Diceros bicornis minor: one gene and its partner. The protein of the gene in region 1 binds, or shares a complex with, the protein of each later gene. Links are inferred from orthologs where the notes say so. Each region holds a gene or a part of one and is shown in the gene's direction. Other genes may lie near its edges.

The links.
Region 2: CACNB2 (region 1) and CACNG1 share a complex: the UniProt entries of both Homo sapiens proteins name them as parts of the calcium channel complex. The link is inferred for Diceros bicornis minor from reciprocal best matches to the Homo sapiens genes CACNB2 and CACNG1.

The regions. Positions count from the first base shown.
Region 1 is NC_080775.1:18,231,841-18,248,030, forward strand, and holds the start of CACNB2 (voltage-dependent L-type calcium channel subunit beta-2), read left to right. Parts: upstream 1-7,814; 5' UTR 7,815-7,824; coding exon 7,825-7,944; intron 7,945-16,190. UniProt on the Homo sapiens protein: Beta subunit of voltage-dependent calcium channels which contributes to the function of the calcium channel by increasing peak calcium current. Plays a role in shifting voltage dependencies of activation and inactivation of the channel.
Region 2 is NC_080757.1:48,245,820-48,262,025, reverse strand, and holds the start of CACNG1 (voltage-dependent calcium channel gamma-1 subunit), read left to right. Parts: upstream 1-8,340; coding exon 8,341-8,575; intron 8,576-16,206. UniProt on the Homo sapiens protein: Regulatory subunit of the voltage-gated calcium channel that gives rise to L-type calcium currents in skeletal muscle. Regulates channel inactivation kinetics.

The DNA.
Region 1 (16,190 bases):
ACATGAAATGGACAAATTCTTTGAAAAACATAAACTATCAAGGCTCAAGAAGACATAGATAACCTAAATAGCCCCATATCAATTAAAGACATTGAAATAATAATTAAAAACTTTCCCACAAAGGAAACTCCAGACCCACTGGTAAATTCTCCCAAATATTTATGACAGTATTACTAATTCTATACAAACTCTTCTAGAAAATACAACAGGAGGAAACAGTTCCCAACGTTAGCCCTCACTTTATGAGGCGGGAATTCCCCTGATACATAAACCAAGGCAAGGTAAATTATACCTTAAGAAAGTTATTTTTTTTGCTGGATAAGATTTGCCCTGAGCTAACATCTGTTGCCAATCTTCCTCTTTTTTTTTCCTCCCCAAAGCCCAAGGCACGGTTGTATATTCTAGTTGTAAGTCCTTCTAGTTCTCTGTATGTGAGCCGCCACAGGATGCCTACTGACAGACGTGTGGTGTGGTTCCGCCGCCGGGAACCGAATCCGGGCTACTGAAGCGGTGAGAGTATGGAACTTGAACCACTAGGCCATCAGGGCTGGCTCAAGAAAGTTATTTTTAAAAGAAAAAAATGTTCCTAGTAATGAAATGATCACTAGGTTGGTTCGATTTGGTACGATTGATCAGAAAAATCTAAAGAAACAGAGGCTTAAGCAATATAAATGTTTATTCCTGCCTCACTTAAAAGAAGTCTGACAGTAGGCAGTCTAGGGCTGGTATGGTGGCTTGAGGGTACCATCAACGACCCAGCTGCCTTTTGCTGTGCTCATTCAACTTCAGCACGTGGCTTTTATGTGGCTTTATTGTCTAAAATGTTCACTCATGGTTTAGCTAATACATCCACAATCTGGTCAGCAGAAAGGAAGAAGGGGAGCATTTCCTCGCCTTTTATGGATACTCCCTACAAGTTCTTCACCCCACTTTGCTTTCACTCTGCAGAAAGTAGCCACGTAGCTGCAAGAGAGACCGGGAAATGTAGTCTTTTATTCCAGGTACCAACGTGCCTGGCTAAAAACAGAGGTCCCATAAAAAGCGGGTATGGGCAACTAGGAATCTCAGATACAAACAAGCTGACTACTTTCAACGTGTAAATTCAGATGAGTTTCTTGATAAAGCAGGTCTCATCGTTTATAGTCTTATGACACATGACTGTACGTGTGTGTGTGTGTGTGTGTGTGTACTGCCCATAAAAAATTAAGATGTTTTGTAAAGAAATGGAAAGATATCCCATGCACGTGGATTGGAAGAATAAACATAGTTAAAATGTCTATATTACCTAAAGCAATCTACAGATTCAATGCAATCCCAATCAGAATCCCAATGACATTCTTCGCAGAAATAGAAAAAAGAATACTAAAATTTATATGGGGCAACAAGAGACCCCGAATAGCTAAAGAAATCCTAAAGAAAAAGAACAAAGCAGGAGGCATCACAGTTCCTGACTTCAAAACATACTACAAAGCAATAGTAATCAAAACAGCATGGTACTGGTACAAAAACAGACACACAGATCAATAGAACAGAATTGAAAGCCCAGAAATAAAACCACACATATACGGACAGCTAATTTTCGACAAAGGTTCTAAGAACATGCAATGGAGAAAGGAAAGTCTCTTCAATAAATGGTGTTGGGAAAACTGGACAGCCACATGCAAAAGAATGAAAGTGGACCATGTGCTATCGCCATTCACAAAAATTAACTCAAAATGGATCAAAGACCTGAAGGTGAGACCTGAAACTATAAAACTCATAGAAGAAAATATAGGCAACACACTATTTGACATTGGGTTTAAAGGAATCTTTTCGGATGACATGCCTACCCAGACTAGGGAAACTAAAGAAAAAATAAACAAGTGGGACTTTATCAGATTAAAGAGCTTTTATAAGACAAATGAAACCAGAATCAAGATGAACAAACAACCAACCAGCTGGGAGAGAATATTTGCAAAACATACATCTGACAAGGGGTTGATCTCCATAATATATAAAGAACTCACACAATTGAACAACAAAAAAACAAACAACCCGATCAAAAAATGGGCAGAGGAAATGAACAGACACTTCTCCAAGGAAGATATACAGATGGCCAATAGGCACATGAAAAGATGCTCAACATCACTAATCATCAGGGAAATGCAAATCAAAACAACACTAAGATACCACCTCACGCCCGTTAGAATGGCTATAATCACCAAGACAAAAAACAACAAATGTTGGAGAGGATGTGGAGAAACAGGAACCCTCATACACAGCTGGTGGGAATGCAAATTGGTGCAGCCTCTATGGAAAATGGTATGGAGAGTCCTCAAAGAATTAAAAATAGAGATGCCCTATGATCCAGCCATCCCACTACTGGGAATCTATCCAACGCACCTGAAATCAACAATCCAAAGAGGCTTATGCACCCCTATGTTCACTGCAGCATTATTCACCATAGCCAAGAAGTGGAAGCAACCTAAGTGTCCCTCGACTGACGATTGGATTAAGAAAATGTGGTATATATATACAATGGAATACTACTCAGCCATAAAAAAAGACAAAATCGTCCCATTTGCAACAACATGGATGGGCCTGGAGCGTATTATGTTAAGTGAAATAAGCCTGAAAGAGAAAGACAAACACTGTATGATCTCACTCATATGTGGAATATAAACCAACACATGGACAGAGAAAACTGGACTGTGGCTACCCGGGCAGTGGGGGTGGGGGGTGGGCACAAGGGGTGAAGGGAGTCATATATGGGGTGATGGACAAACAAAAATGTACAACCCAAAATTTCACAATGTTAGAAACCATTAAAGCATCAATAAAAAAAAAATTCTAGCCAATAAAAATCAAATTTTACTTTAAAAAAAAAATTAAGATGTTTTGGAAAGAAAAAGCATGAGAGACCAAGGGTTTGCTTATAAATGAGACATTCCTATCAAAAGAATGGGGCCATGGGAGAGCAAAAGATAGAGTCAGTTGGATATATTTCATTATTAATTGCCCGCGTGCTCACCTTCCAACTCTGCTTTCAAGCTGTTCTGAATTTCTTCCCCTTCCATCTTTGTATTTTCTATTCTTTTTGCCTGAAACATTTTTTTCCAGATCTTTTAAATTTCTCCCATAGTATTTTGCATGCATATTCTTCATACTTTATCTGTGTCTCGCCTGCTCTACTATGTATTCTATGAGTACAGGAGCCATTCCTAACTAGTTCAGTACCGTTATCCTTATTGCCCTGAATTATAGCAGGCACACACACACAAAAGTGGCATGAATTAATAACATTGTGGCTACTCATAGCTATTTGTGCGATCAGCCCCACCTCTAGTAAATACATTACTGTAGTCATCGAAGCATGCGAGGAGAAGCAATATGTAAATCTGTTTCTCCAATCAAAAACCCAGTGTTAGCCTGTGTGACACAGCTCTTTGAAGGCCACCAGACAGGCAACTGTGTTGAACTGAAAACAAGTCTTAGAATTGGGGTTTAAAAACATATGTTTAATTCCTGCTACTTGTCAGCTATTCAGGCTTGGTTAAGTCAGTTTCTGCTAGTTGTTCATCAAAATCCACTCTCCTTTTCTTCCTAAGGCATATGACCAGGCTATATGTCTCAGTCTGTCTTGTAGGTTTTTCATGTGATCGAGTTCTAGCCAATAAAATATAAGTGGAAGAGATGCATGCCACTTCCAAGCTTGGCCAATAAAAACTTACAAGCTCTCCCACCACATGTCCTCCATCATCCTTTTTCTTCCTTCTGGCTAACCCAGATGGGAACAACCATGGTGACATTGGGAGCCACATTTTGAAGATGGTAGATGTCACTCAAGACTTGGTTCCTAAATGTCAGCATGAAGCAGAGCTCCTTCTGAAGATGAATGACTACCCTAGTCTCGAAGGAATACATTTCTTCTTCTCTGATCCACTAAATATTTAGGGTTTATTTGTTACAGCAATTGGACTGATTCTAACTAACATGGAGAATAGTAATATCTGCTTCATAGATGAGATGACATCTGTAAATCCTTAGCACAAAGCCTGGCACCTTGTATGAAAAAAAAAATGGTTTGGATGAGAAATAAATCAAATAACAAATGAATGTGCTTTATAAACTAAAAAGTGCGATACGGTATTAGATATTCCAGAGCTCTGTCTCCTGGGTAGTTCTCAGTACTCATGAAATCTTATTACTTCTATAAAGTCTTTTCTTTGAAGTGAAATTAAGCTTTCCCTGATCACTTGCACATTTCAGTTGTAACCTTTCAGTACACACACGAACACACAACCATCTTATACTGGATTTGCATGCATCTTTACATGCTTTTAAATAACAATCTGTAATTCAGGGCATTCATCTTATAGTGTAAATTTACAAAACGCAAGTGTGTAACTTACTGGAATGCATTATAACAAGTTAGACCCGTGGCTGATACAGGTATATCCTTATGAAAATGCTATTAATTATGGAAGAGATCCAGAACTGTAAATGAGGTGAAAAATGATTTATTAAGCAAAATGGGAAACCACGTATGGCGAGTATCTGTCCTAAAGAACTCTTGCTCCAAGGTCTTAAACATAGTGACAAATGTGCAAGCAAGAGAGTAGGAGTAAAGTAACTGTAATCACTGTTTCTTCCACTTTTAGGGGGAAAAAACCTCCAACTCTGGCTTCCACCAAAGTTTCTTTCTTCCAATGTTTCTTACCAGCCCCTGTTCTCATTTCAGAGCATTAGTAATGCCCAGAATATGCCTGTCCATTACAACGACCAATGAGCACACTAAAGTTCATGTACAGCTTGAACAAATTAGTCATCTGCATTTGAATGCCTCCACTGTGGATTGCACATCCATTATTGCTGGAGTGCATCTGCATAACTTTTAACATTGAAAAGAATTAGGCTTTACTTACCAAATTTTAGTTTTCATCTGTGGCTTTTAAATACTGCCCAGTCAACGTATGTTAAAAACAAAACTGACCGTAATAGAAGGCATCCATGATAAGTTTCTCAAGCCTTTTCCCCCTCTGTATTTATTCTGATATTGTTCCCTTTTTTAGGTAGCAGTAACATTGTGTTACTTTTTCGGTGAAATCTTTTACAAGCCAGACTAGAATCTGATTGGGTACATTGTAATGTGTTAGTGTTCAATACATGTTAAGTAAATTAGCACAGGTTATAAAAAAAGAATTAATATAATGCTTTCATGTGAGTCATGATTAGGTAAATATCTTTGTATGTTAAAACTAGCATGCTAGTTTGCTATGTTTTAAGACACATGAAGACAGATCATTCATTCACTTATGCCAGAAGTGTTTTCAGGCTACAACTAAGTGCCAGACACCATGCTCCACGCTAGGGATACTAAGATGAACAAGACACAATTGCTGTCCTTAGGGAACTCTGTGTAGTGGCAGAAACATAAAAACAAAGAGTTCTGTATCATTAACTATATGAAAGGAATACAATATACTCTATCATATTTGAACATTTAATTCAAACTTTACTTGCCCTTTGGCTATACAAATAAGCATTACTAAAAATGATTTTCAAGGTTGTTTTGATATTTTGTGGTCTCTTTAAAAAAATCTGATGAAAGATAAAATTCTACTTCCCAAATGGTCATAATTAAAAGCGAATGCGTATATAATTAAGTATACTATAAGAAATTACACAGATGTCATGGGAAAACACTGTTTCATCAAACCTGGCGTTTTTTAAAACCATGTTAGAATTGTGCTTCATTCATTAATTAACTCAGTCAACAAGTGTATATTAATTGGTTAGTTTCTAAGTGCTTACTAGTTAGACTGTAAGCCCCAAGATTCCCAGTCTTTGTTGTCTGTGCTCCTCCAGTGGCACACATTAGAAGCTTGATGTATGCTTTCTTGAATGAATATTGAAAGAACTCAGGGCAACTTGCCAGATTCTGCATGTGCCCTGGTGAATAAGCGTGACTCCTACTCACACCGAGCTTACAGTCTAATCTAGAACCAGATTCAATGTTATCCTTGAGATTTAAACACTCTCCCTAGAAAAATAAACAGTTTCGTTAAATGAATGAACCTAGAAGAACCTATCACCTAGGTGATACCATCATATCATGGAGCTAAAATAGACTATTTTGAATACAATTTATTTTCCACTTTCATAAGTACATACATGCATAGATATACACATACACACGTACAAAAGCACTGCTGATTGTTGTAAATGACAAACTTTTTTACACATCTTAGCCAGGCCTTGGAGAAGGCTTGCAGCCATTGCTACAAAGCAGATGGTGCCCCCTCCTTTGCTGACTGACCACCCACCCATATCCTAACCAACAGCCTCCCAGCTTCCCAGTCTGTTGCTTTTCAAAATGTCACTTTATTATTATTATTACTATAAATCAATACTTTAGTGCTTCTATTTAATATTCAGTAAAATTTAAGCAAAAGTGACGAGTTTACACCAAAGATTAGAATAATCAATGACATTTTGGATATGCCTATATCTTTAACCATACCATGACCTGTTCTTTAAGCCTGACTCAAGCCAGAGTATGACGGAGATAGTTTAAAAATATCTACGTTTATCTTTAAGAACAAGTACTATATCCCATAATCATTTAATATACCACGGCAAAACATAAAAGGCAGCTGAAGCCCACGGCAGCAAATTTCTGTATGTACATTTCAGTATACAAAACTGTGTACACTCTGTGTTACAAAACAATACTGATGCCTGGAAAACCTTTTCTACAGAGAGTTCCACTGTAGTAAGAGTTGTTGAAATAAGAGGTATCCTATAACATGAAAAAATGTGTCTTATTAGGAATATCTGAATGGAATGTTCTAACATTCTTGCTATGGCCATTACTCTCTTATCAAGAGTTCGGGATCTTAAGGAAGTGCTTATTTTGTCCAAAATGTGGTACTAAGACTTCTCAACTCTAGAGGAAAAGTCCAATTCTGTGAATAACCAGCGCTGTTTTGCAGAGATGAAGACAAACGGGAGTCATAAAGGGGAAACCCCTGACTAGGGTCTGGAAGTGGTCGATGTGGACCTGGTAGGCGAGGCCAGCTGCAGATTCCCAGGAGACCGCAATCCTCAGGTTATCAGGCCCATTTCTGCTCTGGCTCGTCACTACTGCCCTCGTCAGAGCCTTCCACTACTGACTGGATGTCCTTCGTCGACACTTGCCCTCCGCGGCGCCCGAGGCCTTCGTAGGTTTCAGACGCTCGGTTGACGAATGGTCCCTCCCCAATCTCCGAAGAGAGCGACCTGTTCCCGCCCGCGGGCTGCGAGGGTTCCTGCGAGGCGGCTGGGGAGCAGAGGGACTGGAGCTCGGCGGCGGAGAAAGGCAGCTCCCGGGCGCGAGGCCTCGCTTTCGCGGCTTTGAAAACTTTCCAGCGCGCGTGCCACGGCGACGCGCAGCGGCTGGGCCGGAGCCCACGCGGCCCGCGCCGCCTGCGGGGAACTTTTCGGCGGTTCGGCTGCCTTGTCACTCTCGCCCGCCGACGCGCCTCCCCCTGGGCTCGCGCTCCGCGAGCTCCCTCCCTCTCGGCGAGGACCTGCCCCGGCGCCGCCGCCGCTCTGCGCTCGCCCTGCCCGGCCCCGGCCGCACCGCGCAGGGAGCCCCTCTCCCCGGCCACCCGGCCGCGTGCCGCGCCACCGCCGCCCGGCTCCCCGCGTCTCGCTCTTCAAAATGGCCCGGCCCCGTCCCGCGCCCTGAGAGCCGGCGAGCGCCGCGCCGAGCCCCGGGCGGCCCCCGGAGCGGGGGCGGGGGAGGGGAGGAGGGCACCCGCCGCGAGGGGCTGGCGGCTGCTTCGAGCCGACTTTTCGCCAATGGTCCAAAGCGACATGTCCAAGTCGCCTCCCACAGCGGCGGCGGCGGGGGCGCAGGAGATCCAGATGGAACTGCTGGAGAACGCGGCTCCCGCGGGGGCGCTCGGAGCGGCCGCACAGGTAGCGAGAGCGCGGCGCCTTCTCCTTTCTTTGTGAGCCGCCCGGGCGCCGACCTCCATCTCTCCGGGCGCCTCTTCTCCTAGCATCCCTCGCCTCGCCGCTTCCTCCTGCCTGGGTCTCCTCCGCCACCTCCTCCTTCTTCGCCCTTTGCCACCCACTGTCCTCTCTTGGCACCAGTGCCCCTGCCCCTTTTCGCCTTTCCCTGGCTCTTCTCAGGCTTCCATTTTTCTCTGCTTCCGAAAAGCAAGTGGGAAGGGGCGGGGGAGACCTCCCGGTCTTCAGAGGCTACCCGCGGGCTGCTCCGGTCAGCCCTCCTCGCCCCTTCCCGGGAGAGGCGCATGGAGAGACATGAACCAGGCGAGTGGACTGGACCTGCTCAAGATCGTGAGTCTGGGTGGCCGGGAGGGGCTCCGCTTCCCGCAGCTCTTGCTCCGACGCCGACCCTTCTAGACGTGCTCTGAGCTGGGGTCGGAGTGGGGGCCGTGTGATGGGGTAGGGGGTGGGCGTGGGGGGTGGCGTGGGTAGGGGCGCTCTGCCCCTGACTCTGGAAGCAGCCTTGAACACCTCCCGCACCTGCGGCGTTACACCGCGTTGACAGCTAAGCTCCCCTCCGGGCGCTTGCCAGGGTTTGCCTGGACCCCTCGTTCCTTTCTCTTAAGAAGAGAGCGAGTAGGGGACGCTCAAGTTTTTATTTTTTTTCATTTTCCCTGAAATGTTAGCCATTTCGGGGAGCTCAGGGACCACCTTCCTCTCCTATGAGTATTAGCGGTTTCTGGAAAAATTACAGTTAGCTGCCGGTTGTGAAATAGGAGATGTCAGTTGTAGGCGTTGGGCAACGATAAGGTGGCTTTTACGTAAGGCTTTTGGCAGGTACAGTTTGGATTCCAGACACCTCTAGGTCTCAGCGGTAAAGTCTCTCTCAACTTTTATCCTAGCAGGGAAATGACTTAAGACTCCTAGCTGTGGGCTGCTTGGCGAGTGATGTGAAGAGCTTAGAGTTACATTTCAAGCATCATTTTGGAGAAATGTCTCTTCTTTGCTTAACGATATTGGCTTGTTGATTTCAAGTCTACATTTGCCAGACTGTAAACTGTGGTGAGATTATATATACATAATGCTCAAGAGAGGGCATGTTAAAGTAGTATTTACTGTAGTAAGTAGAGCAGGAATGGGACAAGGTAATAAAGGTTAGGAATGTTTTGTTGCTTGTTATTGTTTTGATAGGTGGTGGAAATTGACAGCTCTAGATGTTTTGAGACTGTTAAGAATGGCAGTTCCAGTGGCATAAGTGTGGAACTTTATTCCCCTTTCTTTTACCACTTAAAATACATAATTCACTTTGGTTTGAGATGGGAGAAGAATGTAGAAACCAAGAACTTGTATAATCAGAAGTCCATTTGTTTCGTAGAGATAAAACAGCTCAATTTGTCTCCCTTGGGCTGTCTGGCTGTAAAGCAGACTGGGAACATGTAACTAACCACTTGCATTTCCTTCGAGCCTCTGCCAGTGGACCTGAATCCTTACCGACACATGTCACGATTGTTCTAGATTCCTGATTTTATCTAGACACTTACCAGGTTAGATAGAATGGGAAATGTACTCAGAGACCTCGGTTATTCCAGGATGAAGGTCTTGAATATTGATAGAGGAAAGGACTTTTAGACCCTCCTTTCTCTTTGATCTTCCTTCAAGGATTTTTTTTTTTTTTTAATTTTTATTCCTGTGATAAAAATAGAGTTCCTGAATTCCTGGAGATCAAAGTTAGGGCTGACAGAAAGCATGACCATTCAGATAAGAGGTCCCCATTTACTTAGTGATTTACATGGTTAAACGTAAGTCAACAAGTATTTTTTATGCAGCTGCAATGTGGAAATGATTCAGATGTGGGGAGACACAATTTCTGCCCTACATTCCAGTAACTGCAAGTATGACCAATGTATGACAATTGTATAGCATGGGTCTATGGGAGAAGAACTGAATCTTATAGGTTTCAAAGGAGTAAAGATCACAAATATTCTACTTGGAGTAGTCTGTAAAGACTGCATAGAAGAGGTGGCGTTTGAGAAGAGATTTGAAGGGTGGGTCAGATTTCAACAGAGATATTCAGAGAGAGGGTAGAGAGCTATACAGGAAACAAAGTCACAGGAGCTAGGAGTCTTAAAGGATACATTTATAATCTCTAGTTTTAAAAGAGTATGGAAAAGCACAGATTGGGCATAGTTAGATGTAAGACTGACAAGGCAATCTGAGGCCACATCTTGGGGGCTTGGAACGTGTAGTGTATTGAACAATATAGAGAACCGTGGAAGGGGTTCAGTGAAGGAGCCACGTGGCAGCTCATTCAGAAGATTCATCTGGGAATGTTCTGCAGGACAATTTGGAGTCTCAGGAGTCCAGAGGTGGAAGTGCCAGAAGGGAGATGGATATAACAATTTGGACAAGAGGTAATAAGGCTTAAACTAAAAAGAGAAAAGATAATGGATATGACAGGACTACGCGTGAGACGTTTCAAAGACTGAATCCACAGGAATAGGCAAGTGATGGCATAGATGCATGAGAGAGAGCAGAAAGGGAGGAATGGGTATTATAAGCAGGTAAGAGGCATAAAGATTCAACTGCGTCAACATCCATCTCCTTGTTTTCTCTACCTTCCAACAATGAAAGCAGTTTTCCTTGAATTGTGTTCATATCACATCCATTATTTCAGGGAAAGATTGCCTTGTTTATTTCATCTCTAATAAATCATGGCATCATAGGGCTAAGAAACTTGGCAAAGGTTCTATTCCATCTCTCTGGGCAGGACCGGCCAGCAGTAAAACCGCCTGAGAAGGGAGGCTGTCTGAGGAGCAGCCCCCTTTTGTGTGGCACTGAGTAACAGGAATTCTACTTAGAAATGGAATTTTTACTTGCAAATGGTACTTCTAAGCAATCACTTGTTTTAAGAATCCTTTCTATTTCACCTCTGGATTGTATTACAAGTTCTATAGGAACAAAGCAAAAGATGCAGATTCACAGACTGCCCATTTTCCTTTTTTATGTCAATAATCCTGCCTGGGGTTGGGGCACGCTCATACATACCAACCCCTTCCCTCCAGCACACTGGCATAAACAAATGGATGTATTCTTACATGAGAAGCAAGTAGCAATCTAACTGCAAATTCTTGAAAGTTCTGATTTAAGCAAATTGAATCGCTTTTTAGGTAGCCTGTTGAACAGTTTCAGTGCAAACTTGGACACAATCTACCTGCAAAATCAGGGGCCTAATGTAGGATTCTCCTTCAAAGCTCCATATCTGCACTGTCCACTATAGTCGCCACTAGCCACATGTGGCCTCTGAGCACTTGAAATGTGACTGGTCTGAACTGAGATGTGCTATAAATGTAAAATGCCAGATTTCAGAGACTTAATATGAAATAAAGAATATACAACATCTCAGTAACTTTTATGTTGATTACATGTTGCAATGATAATATTTTTGGATATGTTGGGCTAAATAAAATACATTATTGCAACTAACTTCACCATTTTACCTTGTTAATGTGGCTCCTAGAAAATTCCAATTACCTGTGTGGCTTCTATTATATTTCTCTTGGACAGTGTTAGTCTAAAGTATGGCACAGGTAATTCCCCGGGGAGTTGACTAGATCCTGTATGAAGGCTGGGTGGATGGGAAGTAGGTGAAAGGGATAGAGAATAGGATGGTGACAGAAGAGGAAATGGACGAGCAACGAGAGCGGTATCTTAGCACTTTAGGCCTCAAAGAGATTGTAACCAGCACCTCCAGTTACACCTGAAAATGAACAGACAGTAACCAGAGGGCCTGTTTGTTTTGCTCCTAGCAACAGAACCCAGCTGGTTCCGCCCCAGCTGAGTTTGCCAGATGCTTTTCAAGCATGTTGTAGTAATACAGCCTGGTAATGGCAACATCCTGCATCGCTGTAGCACGAGCTTTATCTAAAAAGAGCCGCAGCCATGCTCCCGTGGCTCTTGAACCATATCAGTACTGTGTTCCAGAAATATTCTTAGGTCCGACGTCTAATTTAGTCTTTTGCGGTCTCCAAACTTAGTGGTCATGGGTCCTGTGTTTTATGCCTTGCTAAACCTTTCGTTCCTAACCCCCATCACTTTCCAACGGAGTGGTATATTTGTTCTGGTGTTTCATGGGAGAAATTTTAAAACGTGCCAGCCGCAATTTCTGAGTGTGTTCTAAAATGCGAAATATAATATCCGACTAAATGAGTGATTGAGGTTTAATTGGTCTTGGAGTTGTATGTGTCTTGTCTTTTTGTATTTCCTTTTATGTAAAGACTTAGTTTACCTGCTGCTGTATTTAATTCCTTGGAATTATCCGGTATGTAGCCTTGGGCCTTTCAAGAAAAGCTGAACAAAATATGTTAACCCTGCAGGAGGTGGTGGCCCTCTTTGTTTTGTGACTTTGGGACATGTCTGTGTCCTACAAATAGTATATGGCATTACTTACTTTCACAATGACAGGGAGTTAAAATTAATGATAACACCACTTCGAGTACTTGGGTCTGTCTGACGGTTCTCTCCAAGCCTGGCCTGGAGGTAGATTGGGAAGAGGGCAAGGTTGGTCTGTGCCCTTCTGCCACCTCCCTGCCCCTGCATGTCCCCACTAGGCATATCTCTGCTTCCTGGCCTCCTGCCTCTTCCCTTCTGTACCTGCCAGACCCCCCGAAAAGCTCTGTGTATGCTGCCTCTTGATTCCCTTCTGCTTTTGTGTAAACTGACGCACTATAAAAAACAACTTATGTTTTCCTTTTTGTAGGGAGGTAATCTCAATTACTTCTCTCCTAGTAAAGGATCTGACAGCCTCATTCACACTAAGCTATTGGTAAAGGAGATTTCACGTCTGATTCCTCTCTGGATAGTTTTGGCTTTCTTTGCTTTAGACCATAAGACAAGGAAAGTCCCCAGTTCAAAGGGATAAATATCAATGAATGCTAACTGAGAGAGATGAAGCTGACTTCAGCCATCAGCGTTATGCTCATGGGGAGTAGTAGTTTGTAGGTAGGAGAACTGTCACCATATCCATCAACCACAGATGTGGCATCATTCTTAAATCTGTCCCCAGGGGCTGTTGAGCCAGCTCTGTGCAGGACTGGGCTGAAATCTCCAGTTATCTGGCAGCTTCTATAATTTACTACTACTGTCTGCTTCAATCGTCCGGAAATTAGATTTTAATTACCTGTGGAAATGTGACCATTTATTTGCTGATTTTAAGACTACAGTCCAATTTTGAAAGTTAGTTATCAAAGAAGACATTCATTCACATGACGCTGATGTTAACGTCATGAAGAATGTTGGATATCTTTTTAATGTCATTTATATATTTCATAAATCTTTTTTTTCCCTAGTCTCTGAAATCTTAGCTTGGTTGATATTTTAGGAGAAGTAAAGGACTTTAAATATATGGTTTTCTTTTTTCCTTTTTACTATGGTGACATAATTTGTTTTTATTAAGCTGCATATAACTAATGGGCAATGCGTGGAAATTAGTGCCTTTTAGGACTGTGTTCCAAGAAAAACTTAGGGGTCTGCATGTGTCACTGAGAGTGTTATGGTTTACATTTTGCACTCTGGCCAAACCTGGGCAGTTTTGATTGTTAACTGTCTCCTATATTGGGTATTCATATGTTTAGTGTTGCTAAAAAATATTTGGATAAACCATTGGTCATAAAAGTAGCTGCCTTTGAAGTAGCAAATTAAGTAAGAAAACTATACTTCTTCTCCAAATTTAGTCAACTAAATATCTGAATACTTAATCTTTCCTGTCTTTTTCCATTTGGGGGAAGTTTGGCCTTAATTTTTTTTTTTTTTTTTGAATTCCTTCGTATGAAACACTCTTCTTTTTATTTTCAACGATTTAGAGTAACTAATGAACAAGTAATTCCGGCCAGATGGACTTAAATTTAAATATGCATTCGACTAAAGGAAATTTCATTTTGTAATGGTGGTATAAATTTTCACTAACATTGTTTAAAGTACATAAAAATGGACTATTATCTTTCCAAAAGATGCTTTAATTTTTTTCTTGATCCTGGATATTGTTATAAAAAAATAACTAGTCATTGAGTCATTCTACAGTTAAAAGTTAAAAAAGAAGATGATAGGAGAGAAATTACTGCTGAAATTAGTAAAATAGCAGAATAGAGGTGTAATTAAGCCTATCTATTTTGGCTTTTAATATGATGTATAACGAATAAGGATTTGCTGTAACATTATTAAGGCCTAAACAAGTTAATACTTTGAATAAATCATCCCTCATAAATTTAAGTGACTGAAAGACAATATATTTTTCTCAAAACTATCACCTGTTTGCATGTGATTCAGTGTTCCATAGCTTTTTAGGGTACAAACTGTGTCTTGGTACAGTTGAAAACTGCGATAATCCGGCATACATACGTTGCATAGGTAGCTAAGTATACCTGAAGTAATGTTTATGAACAGTATTCCCAGGGGCCTGGAAAAATTAATGTAATTTTTAAAATGTGTCTAATTGCTTGCAGAGAACTGAGCCTCTGCTGGGACTGAATGTCTTAAATATTGTGTAGTTCTCACAATGCCTATTATGCAATTGTGAGCAGCCATGAAAAAGCTTACACACCAAAGCAGCTAAATGGTAAAACATATTTATCATTAAAAATCTGGAAGAAATGACAGTAATAGAATTTCAGAGACGCTCTACCCATTTCAAAATGATACTAGAAGGACACATGATAACGAGATGAGGTTATATTTTCTTTGTTCTAAAAGACAATTTATGCTCCTCATGAAGATAAATAGTGTATTTAACATAGGTTTGCCCCCATCTTCCCCCAAAGAAACCTGTTAGGCCTTAAAAATGCTTTCAAGGCAATAAGTATTTTCCCATGTGGAATAATGTAATTTTTTAAAAATTTTATGGAAATGTTCATACTTTATTTTAGCGTTCTTAGGCCTTAGAAGACACTTCTGTCCAGACTTTTACATAATAATTGGAAAAGGAAGAACGTTGTTGAAAGAATGTTATTTTTCAACAGTTTACTGAATAATGTTTACATAAGTAAGAAGCATAAGCTGTTAAGTGAGGAGAACCTTGTATAATACATTATGAAAGCCCAGTCTAGATTGTCTTGCCTTTTATGAAGTTGAGAGTTAATTAAATGCCATGGAAACACATTTGTATTATATAAATCCCTTAGATATTTGCAAGAGAACAAACATATTTAAGAAACATTTTTGCTTTAAGATTATACCACTCTCTCCCTGATTGCAAATTCATCTAAATTACTCATAACACAAATGTTTGTAATGGATTTCAGCTTGCCTAAGTGCTACGTATATTATGGTTTATAAGATAGTTCCATTTTAATGAAAACCATATGGATATATAAAATACAACAAAGTAGCATTTTCAAAACCCAAACATGGTGATTTTGAAAAAGTAAATTTTGTAAATTCTGATAATCAAATGAAGTCTCTGGGAGCCTAATCATTCTAAACACGTTATATATTTTAGTCTAATTTTTCTCCACACCTCTCACCCTAATGTGGATATCACTTTTTAAAATATTATTTTGAGCCTTTATAATGTTTTAGATCTTATACTAAATGCTATTAATGTATTATTTCATTTAATACTTAAAACAACCCTGTGAGGTGTGTATTAATATCCTCATTTTAAGGAAGGGAAGACTGACGCTTGGAGAGGTTAAGAAATTTGCTTAATGTCTAAAATAGCAGGATTCCAACCTATGTACGTTTAACTGTAAAGCGCAGTGTTGAGCCATCTTTCACTTATATTTTAATATTCAATATTTGCAATAACTTTATCTGTGCCTAGAATTAAACATAGATGGAGGCATAATTTATTCTTAGTGCTCTGCGTATAAGCTGTAGTAATAGTAGAAAAAGCAAGTTTATTTGTAGATGTTTGTGCTTGGCACAATCCTATTATTGAAACAAATTCTTACTTTTAACATCTTGTTCTTAAGGGCTTATTTTATTGTTATGATTATTCCATAAAATTTATTTTTCTTGCCTTCTCAGCAAATCACTAAGTTGTTAAAGAGCAAGATTTTCACATCATATTCAAACATTACAACAATGGGCCAGAAAATTTTACAAAGTATTTTAATTTCATATAATTCACTCCCACTTATATAGCTGTATCACCATCTCTCAAAGCTATCTCTCAATCCATACAATAATATGAAAGATTGGCACCATGCTTCAATCATGTT
Region 2 (16,206 bases), on another chromosome or scaffold:
CACTGGGGCATTTCCAGTTCCACACAGGTGATGCAGGTTGCAAGAGCCCAGTCCTGACCACTCTCAAAGGTGCCCTGGGAGCCGGGCTTCTCAGGGAGGGTCCTCTTCTGGGTCCCTAGTGTGGAGTGAGCAAAGAGAGGCCTGAGGGGAGGGGAAGCAGATGGGAGGGGGAGGGGAGGCCTCCCTCCAGGGAGCTCGGATCCAGCCACGTGACTTAAGCTCCCTGCACTGGTTCCTAATATAGCACCCCTGGCTGCCCAGCCCTAGAGATGAGGGGTTGGGGGAGGGATGGAAGGGGTTGCTCAGGGACCTTAGAATCCAGAGGAGGAGAGAAGGCAAATACACCTGATACAAGATATTTTTAAATTTGCAGCTTCCAACAAAACTGCCAGTGCAACCTCAGAACAGAAGTCCATGCTCACAGAGGGTTACAAACCCACCTCCTTATGCTTACAACTGCAGGAGAGGGGGCTTGGTGGGACCTATGTCCTGACCTTTGTCCCCTGATAAGTTTTCTGGGAAATACATTAACCCCTGTGGGATCGCCAGAATCTACAAATTAAACTGCAATAGCCAGGTCCTTAAAAAAAAAAAAAATACTATGTCTTCCTAATTCTATAGTAACACATTTTACCTAAAAAAAAAATCTGAAAAGTAAAGCAAAGTTAAAGAAGATAACAATATCAGCCAAAATCCCACTCTCCAAGACGTAAGCACAGTTAACATTTCAGTGCACCCAAAAGTATGTGGGGTATGGGTTCATACCCTGCCTCTGTTCACTGTTTTTCATCTTGAGAATCTTCTCCCCTCTTTCAATATTCCTCAAAAACATAATCTTTCACGCCTGCATAAAAAAGAGATACCACCATTTATCTAACCAGTGTTCTATTGCTGGACACAGCTTGTTTGCTTAAATGGTGCCTGAATGGGGCCAATGCTGGGATGCTTAGGATGCATTTGGTTCAGATCATTTGGTTAGGATCTGGTGACTTCCCACTATGAACTTCCAGCCCAGCTTTATCCTAGAAGCTGATGAAAAGATGAGGCTCCTTGTCCACCAGCAAACGCAGACAGGCTCTTGTCCACATACACACCCGGGTGTCTGGGCTGTGGGGATAGCAGCCTCCCCTCCCCACTCCTGCCCGGCGGCTAGTCAGACTCATCCCACGTTCCTCTCGGAAGGCTGGAGCTGCGTCCCTTCCACCAGGCCTCACAGTTAGCCGTTCTCAGCCACACAAAGTGTAATTCCTTACAGTCACCAAGTGTAGCAATTCATAGGGCTGTGTAACAAATTACACCCAAACTTAGTGGTGTTAAACAACCATTAAATATGGTCAGGATGGCTTATCTCTGCTCCACAGTGTCTGGGGCCTTGGCTGGAAGACTCGATGGCTGGGGGCTGGACCCGTCTGCAGGCTCATTTGCTCACGTCTGGCACTTGATGGTGGCTATTGTCAAAGACCTTAGCTGCAGTTTTCAGCCTGAATGTCCACATATGGTTCTTTGTGTGGCCTGTGGTTTCTCATAGCATGTTGTCCGGGTCGAAGGGCGAGTGTCCCCAGAGCAAGAGAGAAAGACAAAAGTCTCAGAAGTCACACAGCATCCCTTCCTCTGTACTTGAAGGGTGAAAACAGTCAAAAGCCCACTTTTGAGTTCAAGGTGAAAGGAAACAGACTCCACCTCTTGATGGGCAGTGACAAGGTTCTGGAAGAACATATGGGAGCAGAAAGACTTCTGTGGCCATTTTTGGAAGACACAGTCTATCGCCTAGTCTTTCCAGTACCCTCACCTGGCTCTAAGCCTCTTCTCCACCCACTAACCCTCCCTTCCATCCTCCATCACCCCTGTGCCCTCTGGATCTACCCACATCCTTACTGAAGTCTCCCTCCACCCCCTGGGATAAATAAAATCTTCCTCTCCCCCAAGGACACACCTTCTTCCTGTCCTCCTGGTGAAAGCTGTCCATTCTTCTGCAGGGATTCCCTGCCCAGGTTCCCAATATAATACTCCTAGCTGCTCAGCCCCATATGCAGTCCCAAGAGGTGTGGGGCTGGAAAGGGAGAAAAAGGATCTGAGGGACCTTAGGATCCAGAGGAAGACTGGGGCAGATACACCTGATACAGATATTTTTAAACTTGCAGCTTCCAACAAAATTGCTGGTGCAACCTCAAGAACAGAAGTCTGCGATCAGAGAAGGTTATGAACTCATGCCCTTGGACTTATAATTGCAGGAGAGGGAAGTGGTGGGGGATGCTGAGACCTCCAAACCATTACTCCTCTACCTCCTGGGGAAAAGCCTTCTCTGAGGGCCTGAGTGGACCATCCTGAACCCTTTCTCATCACTGTCATCTCCCAGACTCCTTCCTGGCCACTCCTTCATGTCCATCAGAGACTTTACCTCTGGCTCAAAGCCATCCTCTGTACCCCAACTCCTGCCACCATCAAACTGAGCCACGTCAACATCCATGGGGCCAGCCTCTCTGACTCCCTGGCCTCACAGCTCTCCCGTCTTCTCACCTCCATTGACCATCTGGACTTCTCACCTCCATTGACCATTTGGACTTCTCGCCTCCATTGGCCTCTGGCCTTCTCACCTCCATTGGCCATCTGAACTTCTCACCTCCACTGGCCATCTGAACTTTTCACCTCCGTGGACTATCTGGCCTTCTAACTTCCAATGACCTTCATCTCCAAATTGGAGCTTGTCATCAGTCCTGACTGTTCCCCCTGTAAAATTCAGGGCCGTTTTCCTGCTCTCTGACCACAGCTTCCAATGCTCCCAATTATTTCACCTCCTCACCACCACTACACGTGTTCTCCAAACTCATCAAGCCCTTCAGGCCTCTCCATTTTCTCCCAATATATCAACCTGCCTGGTTGCAGGACCACCCTAACCAGCCCATACATGGCAAGTCATCACTTAACCCTCGCCAATGCCCTCAATTCCCTGGGCCCCTTTTCCTTCTAGCTTTTCCCTCCCGGAAGAGCCCCAACCCTCCTTCAGTCTCACCTTCCATCTTCTCCACCCCTGTGCCTGAGCTACAAGGTGATGCCAGAGAAAATCAAGCAAATCGTAAATCAGTGCCTATAGTAGGCAGAATAATGGCCCCCAAAGATGTCCAAGTCCTGACCCCTGGAACCTGTGACTATGTCACCTTACATGGCAAAAGGGACTTTGCAAATGTGATTAAGGATCTTGAGGTGAGGAGATTTTCCTGGGTCATCTGGGTGGACCCAATGTAATCACAAGGGTCCGTGTATGGGAAAGAGGGAGGCAGGAGAGTCAGAGAAGGAGATGTGATGACAGAAGCAGAGGTCAGCATGATGCAACAGCTGGCTTCGAAGAGAAGAGATCTCGATCCCCTTGGCAGAGGCAAAGGCCCGGTTTCAGCTCACAGGATGGAATTGGGGGCAGCCAGCCTGAAGCAACAGAGGGTCCAGGTTGAACAGTGCAAGGAGGGAGATGACGTTGTGTAAAGATGTTGGGACCAGTTCAGTGGCACTTTCCTTTTTATAGTATCTTAAGATCAAACACCCAAGGCCATTTCTCAGCCTAACTAAGCCTGAGCTCAGAATTACATCAGCACATTGCCAAAGAGGATTTATTTGGCCCCCACCCAGGTGTGCACCAGCCTGACTCTGAACGAGGCCCACCTCCGGGAGGTGTTTTCCTCCCTCTAGTTATGTTCTGGTCTTTCTTGGGAAAAGAGCAGTCATTTGGGACAAATGAAAACTGGTACATCTGGGCAAGTAAAATACAGACAACTCTCGATTAGCTGAGTGTGGCATATCTACTTTGAAGAGTGTCTGTAGAAAATGTCAGATCTCTGGAGGCTGCTTCCTTTTGAACTTGATCGCAGAGGCGACAATGGTGCCCTCCTAGGGCGTCGCCTCAGCACCTCCAAGCAAATTGGCCCTTGGTCCAAGCTGTCCTGGTCTGCCCCAGCTGCCATTTCTTATGTCCCTGTGGCCTTAAACCACATAGAAATGTCCTTTGGATCATCTGGCGAAGTAAATTATTTGAGCTTCTGTCCCCTTGTTCTTTCAGTCCCTCTGTCTGTCCATCCACCCACCCATCCATCCATCCAACAACCATTCAACAAACATTTATGAAGATCCCACCTTGAGCTCAGATCCAGAGGGCTCTCTGAGGAGACCCAGAATGAGTACATAATACACTCTCACCATCCCTACCCTCCAGAAGCTTATAGCCCATCAGAGAAGGCTCATCCATCTGTAGTCTATTAATAATAATAATAAAATAACAACAACAATTGCCATCCTGGATCAATTGCCTACTGTCTTAGTCTGCTCAGGCTGCTATAACAAAATACCATAGACTGGGTGGCTTAAACATTTATTTATCACAGTTCTGGAGGCTGGAAGTCCAAGATCAGGGTGCCAGCATGGTCGGGTTCTGGTGAGGACCCTCTTCCTGTCTTGCCACCTTGTTGCTGTGTCCTCACGTGGCAGAGAAAAAGAAAGGGCAAGCTCTCTGGTGTTTCTTCTTCTTTTTTTTTTTTTTTTTTTTTGGTGAGGAAGATTTGCTCTGGGCTAACATCTGTTGCCAATCTTCCTCTATTTTGTATGTGGGTCACCACCACAGCATGGCTTGATGAGTGGTGTAGGTCTGTGCCTAGGATCTGAACCCATGAATCTGGGTCACCAAAGCAAAGCACACTGAACTTAACCACTATGCCATGGGGCTGGCCCCTGGTGTTTCTTCTTATAAGGGCACTAATCACATCATGGCGTCCCACCCTCATGACCTTATCTAAACCTAATCACCTTCCAAAGGCCCCTTCTCCAAATACCATCACACTGGGGTTTGGGCTTGAACATATGAATTTGGGAGGCGGGGAAGGACACAATTCAGTCCATAGCACCTACCATGGGCTAAGCCGGTAAAGTGCATTATCTCTAATCCTTATACCAGCTCCCCAGCCAGGCTCCACTGCTCTCATTTTATAGATGAGGAAAGGACGGCTTAGAGAGGTAATGACTTGCTGGAAGCCACACAGCTGGAGCCTGGCAGAGCAGGGATCTGATCCTGGGGCTGGCTGGATCCATCACCAGCAGGCTGGTTCCCACTCTCACATTGCCCTCCTTCCTGATGCCCTGGAAAGGGCAGGACCTGTGCAGAGGATGCTGACGTCACCCAGCCCCAGCTCCCACTAAATGCCAGCGTCCACCAAGCCCCCTTCCTGGCCCAGCAAGGCCCTGGGGAATCGAGCAGACAGCCTGGCAGTGGCCTCTGTGAGCAGAAAAGGTCTGGATGAAGGAGCCTTTAGTAAACGAGGGAGAGAAAGTAGACTCGCCTGCAGTACCTGGAGCTGCCGGCCTCATGGAGATCTGCACAAAGCCTACTTCAAAAGGAAGAGGCCATCAATCTTTAATGCTTCTGCTCGCTGGGCTGGAGGACTGAGGACCCCCTCATCGGCACAAACCTGCCCCCACTGAGGGAAGGCACAGCCTGGTTTCTCTGATGGGCCTGCAGTGTTGTCGTGGCTGACACTGGGAGCGCCCTGTGTGTCAGGCCCACTTAGGGCACTTCCAAGACCTTCCAAGGCTCCTGGCACTGGAGAGCTTGGGACGCCCACCCCCACCACGCCAGGAAACTCAAAATGCATTTTTATTTCTTCAAATGACACCATATCTACTTGTGCTAAAACTAAAATCGCTTCTTTCTTCTGTCTTAAAACACCAGAACCTTCTTCTCACTCCCCGACTGCTGCTTTGCTGGTGTGCCTGGCACACAGGCGGTCTGCCTCAGGCTACCCAGGGTCCCCTGAGAAGCCGGGCTGCCTGGCTCCTGAGGCCGGGCCACAGGGCGGTGTGAGGTGCCGAGGCCATGTGCCATGTCAGCCTCCAGGAGTTCTCTGTGGAGACGGCCCACCTCCCCGAGACAGACGTCACTCTCTGAGCCAGAGCAGGGCGGTGACAGGCGTCAGTAAGTCAGTCGGTTGTGATGGGTCAGTTCCACTGGGATCCCGGAGTTGGGCGCCAGGGAGAGAAGGGGAACAGGGATGAGGAAGGGGGAGAGAGAAGCTCTCGGGAGATTATCACCTGGGTGGGGAGGCTGGTTTGTAACATGAAAACCCAGCTGTCACTGTCTCAGATGTAACTGCCCTCACGCCTGACTGTGGCTGGAGGTGCGCGGTCTCTGCTCAGCTCGGGGGCTTGTTCACAGGGTGGTCCTGGCTTGTCACATCCTCTCTCTAGGCTGCAGGTTACTTTCGTCGCTCATGACAGGGTTCAGGACACTCTGCCCACAGGTATGGCACGTTGACATATTGAATAACTTCAGCTGAAGGAATCTGAGACGTGGCGGGTGCAGGAAGGACGCTCTGACCTTACCCTGAAGCGGGTCAGAAGACCCTCGTGTGAGAGGCGCCCTCCCCGCACCGTTCACCAAGACGCCGGGAGAGTCCAAACCAACAGGCCGCCGCCTCTCTCGTTGACTGCGCTTAGCTCATGCCTCTTTTTGTCCTATCATATTTTTTCATTTTCCGCTCTTGATCACACCTGGCATAAAAACGCTCAGATTTAACTGTTCCTTCTGGTCTTTGTTTCTTGTGTCAAGGCTCCCGGGTCATGTATAACTGATATGAAGTAAATTTGTATGCTTTTCTCTTGTTAATCTGTCTTTTCCTATAGGGACCTAAGCTGAGAGCTTAGAAAGGTAGAGGGAAAAGATAGTTTCCCTTTCCTGTAGTCACAATAGATCTTGAAATTTCCTCCCAGCTCCAACCATTGGTTAAAGAGTTTGGGCTCTAGGTTCTGAAAACTGGCTTCACCATTTACCTGCTGTGTGACCTTGGACAAGTTACTTCATGTCTCTGAGCCTCCATGTCCTCATCTGTAAAATGGGAGTAATAGCTGTTCTCCTCTCATGGATTGGTGTGAAGATTAACTGCAATGACATGGAAAGGCTTAGCAGAGTGCCTGGTATGTAGTAAGCACTCACTGAATGAGCTGCCATTACAATTATCATTATTATTAACAGTCTGTGCCTCCAAGGCTGGACCCCTGAGTGTTAGCCGCACACAGGCAGGCAGGTTTTCTGTAATCTGTGTTGACTTGAGCCAGGATTTTGAAGCTCAAAGCCCTGCCCAGCTGAGGGGTCTATACGTGGCCACGCATCAGCCTCTTAGATACTCCCCAAAAGAGGCACCTGGTGAACTGAGAAAGAAGAGACGCAGAACCCAGGAGAGTTGTAGGGGCTAGAGCCTGGACTACCAGCCTGGGGGGCACATGGGCAGGCAGGACTCTCGGATGGTGGTCCCAAACTCTCATATGTCCTCCACTATATCCGCACGCCCATTAGCCTCTTAGCCACTCGTAAGTCAACCTACTTCTGTTCTTTTTTACTTAAATATATTTATTTTGTAAATGAAAACCCAGCTGGGAAATCTTTATTGCCTGCCATTAATAGGGGTAAAACTAAAACAGTAAAATGAAAACAGAACTACAGTCAGGTTCAGCTGGATTCTTTGTCCTCTCCAGGCTATTTGATTTGCAGGCAGCAGAAAGGTGTTAAAGACTTACCCCAAATGGAGCTTTTCTTCTGGACCCAACTAGAGGGATGGGAGAAGAATTCGGAAGGAAATAACATTCTCACATCGGGCACAGTGTTCGGTAACGCCAAGCCCAGGAAACACCTGCCATCGTCCTGTGGTTTGGGGATGTGCTGGGCTTGGGGCCAAAGCATTTGCCTGTGAGGTGGGCTCCAGAAGGCCTGGGCAGGGGATCCCCAAGATGTCCCGAGGCAGGATCCTTGGTCCCCCAGACCTCCAGGACAGGGACCCACCACCCCACCCTGGTGACCGGCCTGCCCAGTGGAAGAACAGAAGCGTGTGCTGCCTGTATCCCCCAGGGTCCCCTTTCTCCTTCAGCCCAGAGCAGGCAGATCCCACACCCCGTAATGTCCCTGTTGCCTAGCCCTCGTCGCCTCCCAACTCAGGTATTCTGAGCAGTCGCTCCGTAGAGGTCTCAAGTCACCATCTAAAGCCTTCTCTCCTCGCTCCTCCCTGGGGTATTTCTGGCTCCAAGAGGGGAAGAAAGCCCTGAAACCCGAGGCGACACCGTCGTCGGTGACACGCCTGGAGATGTGCATTAATAGAAGCCTCCCTCAGGCCCCTGACACGTCTGGGCAGCTGCTCAGCCCCATCCAGTGTCCCTCAGCCCCAAGGCCAGCCCACTCTGGCTCGGCCGGGCACACTAAACTTAGCTTCCACCCCCCGCTCGATAACCGCCGCCACCACCCCAGCCCGGCTGCCACCTGCCCAGGGAGACGCTGCCACCGGACCTGCCCCGAGCGCCCACTCCTCCGCCATCGCCATGTCCCAGACCAAAGCACTGAAGGTCCGCGTGACCCTCTTCTGCATCCTGGTGGGCATCGTGCTGGCCATGGTGGCCGTGGTGACCGACCACTGGGCAGTGCTGAGCCCCCATGTGGAGCACCACAATGCCACCTGCGAGGCGGCCCACTTCGGCCTCTGGCGGATTTGCACCAAGCGTATTGTCCTGAGCAACAAAAAGGACAAGAGCTGCGGACCCATCACCCTGCCTGGGGGTAACGTACTCACTCCCTGTCCCCCGTCCCTGCCTCCTGCTCTTCCTCGTCCCCCTGGAAAAGTTGCCCCTGGGAAAGAAGGCAGGTTTCTCCATCTCAGAACGGACCACCGCCCAGCCCTCCGGGCCCAGGGAAGAGGATCTGAACTGCATGCGGTTCTGCTGGTGGCCAGAGCCGGGCTGTAAAAAGAGGGCACGTGTCTCTAGCTATTTCCGTCTTGGGGAGGCTTGGGGCTTTTCACCCAGAGCAGAGGGCTGGAGTAGTGGGACCAGAGGCTCAAGAAAGAAACCGAGGATCCTCCAGCTTAGGGGCTTCTGGCCCCAGAGTGGTCATTCCTCCGGGTGTGCCCAGCTCCACTCTCTCCCTGCAGAGACAGGCTAGGTGGCCCTATGTCCTCAGGCTGAAGGGACCCAGGAGGCTGGCATGTTCATTCCCCAGACTCCAGGCTGGGGTGTAGACAGGATCGGCTAGAGAATTTATGGGGCCTGGTGCAAAATGAAAATGCAATTAAATGAAATTGTGATCATTTTTAAGAATTTCAAGGTGGCGACAGCAAGGCATGAAACCATGCAGGGGTCCGTTGCAGGTGCAGGGCCTTGAGCGAAGCACAGGTCACACGTTTGTGAAGCAGGACCTGGTTGGCGATGAGCCACCTGCCTTTTTGTCAGAACTGTCAGTCCTTCTGTAGGTCCTCCCTCAGCTCAGACCCCTGAAGAGCTGGAAAGCATTTCCTTCTGCTGTAATTTAAGTGCATTCCTCGATTTCCTACCACGTGACTGAACCACACACTGAAGGTGAGCTCCTTGTCAAGAATACCTGATATTAGGGTGACCAGTCTATTCTGCAAACATGGAGCCCTCTGCATGCACAGCAAACAGAGCATGTGCTGAGAGGAGCCCTGCGTGGAGAGTCAGAGGCCTGGGCTCTAATGATGCGTTGCTCACAACCCCCGAACAACTATCGGGTGTGACAAAGCCCATCGCAGCCTCTGCTTCCTCCTATAAAATACGGTACTTGGGCTCAGCAACATAAAGTCCCTTCCGTTGCTCACAAACGTCCCTCCGAGGAGGCAGTGGACAAAGGTGAGTGCAGGATCCCACCTGGTTTTCAGAATTATTCTCTGTTATCAGACTGGGTGTTCCTTGAACTCTGTCCTTCAATGGTGTCCGTGCTAAATCCCCAAAGATCTTTTAGTCTGTGTGTGGGACAAAGGGGCCTAAACCCCCTTCTCTCTTTCCTCTTCCTTCCCCTTCTGCTGGCTCCAGGAAACCCTTGCCTTGCTCATTCCCACTGGACACCTGGAAGACTCGTAAATACCCAGCTGTCTTGGAAACACCAAGTCCCAGGGCTGAGGACTTTAATAGGCATGGACATGTGCTTGAAAAGTATCACATAGCACAGAGGCCCACGCCCCTCAGCCATGGCTGAGCACGCCCGTAAACACATGCATCACTGGCCAACTCTCCTGGGCAGGGCAGGGCAGGGCAGGGCAGGGCAAGGCAGATTCTCCAGGGACCACACAAGGGAACGCAGTGTTACGGTTCTGCCCACCTGTCCTTGGAGGCACCTGCCTTTTAAAGTCTGGTGAGTTTATAGAGCCGATGAGCAGGGAGGTGAGCTGAGTCTATACAAGGAAGAGACAGAGTGGCGGGATGTGACTGGACTAGCCACAGGGGACCAGCAGGCATGGCTTGGCCTTGAGCCTCCTTGAGCCTAGACTATGCCTTCTTGCCCTGGTCCAGAGTGAATCATCCCTCTCATACTCGTGAGCACTGCCTTACCCCCAAGGAGCTTCCGAAGTGTGCTCCTGCCTTCTCCCCTCTCCTTTCTCTGCAAGTGGACATCTTTGTCCTTCCCTGCCCATTCTTCCTGTGCTCTGTGGGATCACTCTTTTCTGGAGGGAGGAATAGAGTTCATATACATTCTCTCATGTATTATTAACAACAACAATAATAATAACTGCAAACAGAAATATAGCACCATCTGCCAAACATTGTTTTTTGTTTTAAGTGCTTTACATATATTAACTTTGGATGACATCAGAAGAAATGACAGAATAAGAACCTCCAAAAATCTTCTTCTTTATAAAAACTATGAGAACACTGGCAAAATGGTCAGAATAAACTTTTTCAGAACTCTGAAAATTATCCAGCTATCCAGCTATCCAGCAAGTGCTTATTCAAGAAAAAATGGTGAATCTCAGTAAGAACAGCGAGCTTCACGGTGTTTTAACTTGCTCTATTTGCGTTCCTCCCTCCCTAACTCTGTCATAGCCTTGAAAACCACCAGTCTGCCATCATAGTGAAAACCATCAGCCTGGTAGCCGTCAGACAGGACAGAACAGGGCTGGATCTCTTTCAAAGCCTCACTCCCAGAGAATTGTCATTATTTGATCTCTCTGGTGGTTCCTGGGAAGTCTCCACTTGCAAGGCTGTCTTTATTTGACCTGAGCTCGTCCAGCAGAGTAGTCTTTTTCCCAGGGGGCATTTGTCAAAAACAATTAGAAACAATTGCTTAATATCATAACTGCCTGAGGCAGTAGATAACAGTTAGGGCAAAAAATAGGCTAACTAAAAAACTAGGGCATAAGATGTCCAAGGTGGCTTTGAAAAGCTCCAACACATTCCTGAGAATGTAGAAGGCCAGGTGCATGCACAGTGCTATATGTGTGCACAGGGAGACCAGAGAAGGTCCTAGGCTCTCACCTCTGGCTTATCTTGAGCCTGCACACAAGCAGAAAGTGAAGGCTAAGGCAGAAATATAGATGCCTACCTGAGTCCTTACCTCTCTGCTGAGCAGAGAACACTTCAGTAAAGACTGAGAGATGCGTTGGTTCCAAGCATTTTAGGAAATCCCTATGAGCTGACCACCAAACTAACTGAGCAGAGATTTCAGTGGCCACACATGACAAAGAATACAGACTTAACAAAATTAATTCAGAAAAGTCACCAAACAAACAACAATAACAGACGGCAACAGGGACTAACCCTGGGGAAGGGTAGGAATCTGATTTTCAGAGTTGCTAGATTCTGCTGTTTAAATTATCCAGTTTTAATTTTAAATTTAAAATTTTAAAAAATTACAAGACATGCAAAGAACTAAAAAAGTAAGGCCCACATGTAAGGGGAAAAAAGCAATCAATAGATCCTTAAGGAAGCCCACATACCGGACTTACTAGACAAAGACTTTGTCACCTATTTTAGATATATTCAAAGAACTAAAAGAAACCATGTGTAAAGAACTAAAGTAAAGATGAGAATGATGTCCCAAGAAATAAAGAACATTAAGAAGAGATAGAAATTATTTTAAAAGGACCTGATAGAAATTCTGGAGTTGAGAAGTACAATAATTGAAATAAAAGATTCACTAGAAGGGTTCAATAGCAGATCTGAGTAGGCAGAAGAAAGAATCAGTGAACTTGAAGATGGGTCACTTGAGATTAGATAGTCTGAGGGACAGGCAGAAAAAGAGAATGAAGAAAAATGAACAGAGCCTCAGAGACCTGTGGGACAGTATCAGATGTACCAACACATGCATAATGGTAGTCCTAGGAGAATAAGAGAGAGAAAGGAGTAAGAAATATATGTAAAAAAAACAATGACCAAAAATTTCCCAAATTTGATGAAAAACATTAATTTATAAATCTATGAATCTTAATGAACTCTAAGTAGCATAAATCCACACCTAGACACATGGTAATCAAACTGTTGAAAGATAAAGATAGGGGCTGGCCCAGTGGCGTAGCGGTTAAGTTCGCATGGTCCGCTTCAGCAGCCCAGGGTTCAATGGTTCAGATCCTGGGCACAGACTTAACTCACCACTCATCAGGCCATGCTGAGGCAGCATCCCATACAGAAGAACTAGAAAGGACATACAACTATGACATACAACTATGTACTTGGGTTTTGGGGAGAAAAAAGGAAAAAGGGAGGAAGATTGGCAACAGATGTTAGTTCAGGGCCAATCTTCCTCAAAAAAAAAAAAAAGAAGAAGAAGCATCTCAGTGCAAATTCTTTAAAAAAAAAAGAAAGAAAGATAAAGGCAGAGAATCTTGGAAGCAGTAAGAAGCCACTCATCACATACAAAGGCTTCTTAATAAGATTAACAGCTAATTTTTTCCCAGAAACCATGGAGGCCAGAAGGCAGTGGGATGACATATATATGTGTGTGTGTGTGTATATATATATAAACTCATTTAATCCTCACTAAATTCTCTATGAGGTCCATACTATTATCATCATCCCATCTTGCAAATAAAGAAAAAAAATGAGGCACAGAGAAATTGAGTGATTTGACCAAGGTCATGCAATTACCATGGCAGAGCAGCGAGGATTCATACCCCTAAAATTCACCTGCTTAGTCAATACATCATACTACTTTACAACAATCCAGTGAAGAGGCTCTCATTCTACAGATGGTTCTCCTTCTACATGTGGGAAAACTGAGGCTCAGAGGGGCCTTCCCGTGGCTAACCATCTAACAAGTATAAGTTCAATATCCAAGTCTCAAATCCAGAGCCTTTTTGCTCTCTAGTTCCCTCCTATATCCTCCACTGTACAAACAAACACAGCCCTTATAAGCTGCTGACCCAAGCAAATACATAAGAGGCCAGCTTTTGACATGATGTGGTTTAGAGGAAGCTGGACCAGGAGCTGGTGCAATAGAGGAGACTTTTCAAGGTCCTATTCAGCCATAGAATGCTGGAGGCTCTGAGGACACAAATTGCTAATTTGGTTTTCCCACTGACTCAAAGAGTCTTAGAAGGACTGTCATACACAAGATCAACATCTGAGGTCAATTCCAGTGCCTCCAGAATGAGAGTAGGGGCTTCCCCAGTTGTCAAGAGAGGCTGTCTGTCTGCAAGCCCAAGTGAATCCCCAGAGGGGTCATCCCTTGCCCTTGGGCTAGGTGGAATGTGGCTTCTTTCAGGCTCTGCCTCTTTAGGGCAAGGCAGCAGCTTGGCCCAGTGCCCTGTTTCCTCAGTGGCCCATCTTTTCTTCCAGTACTCGATGCAGGGCCTGGGGCCATACGAAAGCACTGATGCTACTGACCTCAAAAACTTTAGGGGTTCCCTTTCCCATCCACAGGAGCCCATGCTGGAGACCCAGGCCATAACTAGACTTCTCCCCCATAGGACAGCAATGCTCTGAAGCTCTGGGGTTGGGCTCCAGGGATTTTTCCAACCATTTTATAAAAGTCTTCACTCAGAGAGATTAGGGGAAACAGAGCACAGAGAAACCACTGTTGCAAGCATCAAGAACTTCTTCCACAAAAAGGGTGAAGACATCCCTGGCACTGCTGCAAGTAACAAGTGGATGAAACATTTCTTCTGACCCCTAAGTACTAGTTCCCTTAGTTTTGTACAAATCAACAAGGTATTTTTTAATATATAAGTCTGCATCCACCAGCACTGGGTACACTGATGCATTCTCAGTGACAACTCAGAGGCATCCCATGATCATTCAAGCTGTTCCAACAATCAGAAAAAGATCTCTTATTAACTCAAGTTCAGCTTGGCGTTAAACGAGCCTTCTGTTTCAGTTCTTTGAAATTGTCTCAGTTAGATATGGTTCTGCCTAGATAGTCACTCCCTTAACCAGAATTTTTCATTAGCCAGAATACTTCAACCCCACTCAAGCCCAATAGCTGAGTTCACCATATTTTTTAAGTAATAACACACTTAAAGTTTTTAGACCACTAAGTCATGACTGTTTATGGTAGACATTTCTGAAATACAAATATTAAAATCACTGTGAGCCATTTGCAGAGACAAAGGATGACGGAGGAGCCTCAGAGTTCCCAATTATGGTCACAGATCATCACCCTGGTGTTGGTTTCTCCACCAACTTGGTCCAAAGCACTTGCTTGTTCTGCTTGGTGAAGGGGCTGGAGCCCATCGAGGCAGAGCTGCAAGCCCTGAGCTTTGTGCAAGTGTGATGGAGGCAGAAGGGGGCGTGGAGGCACATCAGAGAGGCAGAGGCAGGAAGGCTCAGAATCTGCACACAGTCTGCACAGAGCTGTCACTGCCCCTGTCCTCCACACCCCCTACTTGTGACTAAGTGCCCCACACAGGGCCCATCTCGATGTCCCTCCTTTTCAAGTTGCCCTTAACACTCAGTTTACTCAGACACCACCAGACAAAGGGGCAGGGGTGGGGTCTGCCCCTCTCAGACCCATCAGACCCTGGGCAATTCTGGAGTGATGCTGACAGATGCCTGGCTTGACTTGTCCTAAATGAGCATCTTGTTGGTCCTGGACATGTCCAGGCTGAGGCCTGGGTGTGACATGCCCCCACCACCGCCAGGGCCACCAGGGACCACAAAAGAGCTTGTGGTCTCCAATGGGCAGCCATGGGGCCCTGGGGCGGATGATTCTCCAGGGTTCAGGGCAGAAGACTCTGGCCTTCCTCATGTGCTAGTCCAAGAGAGGGGACAAGGTTGGCCCATCCGTCCTCAAGTCCTAAGTTCAACTATGTCAGATAGAAGCTGAGACTTCCAGATGTTCTGAGTGGGAACCCCACCCACTGGGTGCCCTCCATCCCCCACATGTGAGATCATTTCATAGGGGAGAAGAGGGAGGGGAACATTGTACCTGGGCCACTGAGGGGAAGAATCCACCCCCTCAAGAATCTTCATGCTGGCTTCCCCAGACATGCAGCCTCCGCCTGTGGTCTGAGCTAAGACAGTTTTTATGCAAGCACCTGGGAGCAGCAGCAGTTCATCCAGACTGCAGCCCGGTATTTACCTGGTGGGGGTGGATAAGCCAAACACTACCTGTGCCAGAGTATCCTCGGCACCCCAGAACCGCCAAATAGCTGTGCCCTGGCCAGGCTCTCGATGGGCTTTTATCTCGGGCCTCTGCCCCGAAGGCAGAGCTCACAGAAGACGAGTAGTCAGGGAGGCAGCTGACGGTGAAATACACTTGAATTCAGTCGATTCTTTTCGGAGGGTTTTCAATGACAACCGCAATTGGCCCTTAAAGAATGAAACAGAAATGTTCCTTTGTCCAGAAGAAAACACGTGGAGACTTATGACATAGCACGAACCGTTTGGGAGCAGTGATTCAAGAGAATCTATAGCGAATAATCTAACCAATGTAAGAGGGTTGCATTAGGCTCTAAAATAGCACCGGAAGCTGTGAGAGAGAAAAGAGCAGCAGCAATTCTGACATCACCACCGGCAGTCAGACACCCCAGGTAACTCAGTTCCAAAGGAAAGTGATTTAAATATAGAAGCTCAAAGAGATGGCTGTTTACCTCACAGAACATTTACTGCTGCTAAACCAGGCCCCGTCTTCAGGGGTCACTACCTCCCTCAACCACTGGAGCACCAGTAACCCTGTCATTGGGGGAGGGGGAAAGAGTGGGAGACCACAGGCTTAAGCAGCAGTAAGATGATTTAGGCCAGATAGAAGGAAGCCCAGGGCTGGCCCCGTGGCTTAGTGGTTAAGTGCACGCGCTCCGCTGCTGGCGGCCCAGGTTCGGATCCCAGGCGCGCCCTGACGCACCGCTTCTCCGGCCATGCTGAGGCCGCGTCCCACGTACAGCGACTAGAAGGATGTGCAACTATGACATACAACTATCTTCTGGGGCTTTGGGGAAAAAGAAAGAAATAAATAAAATTATAAAAAAA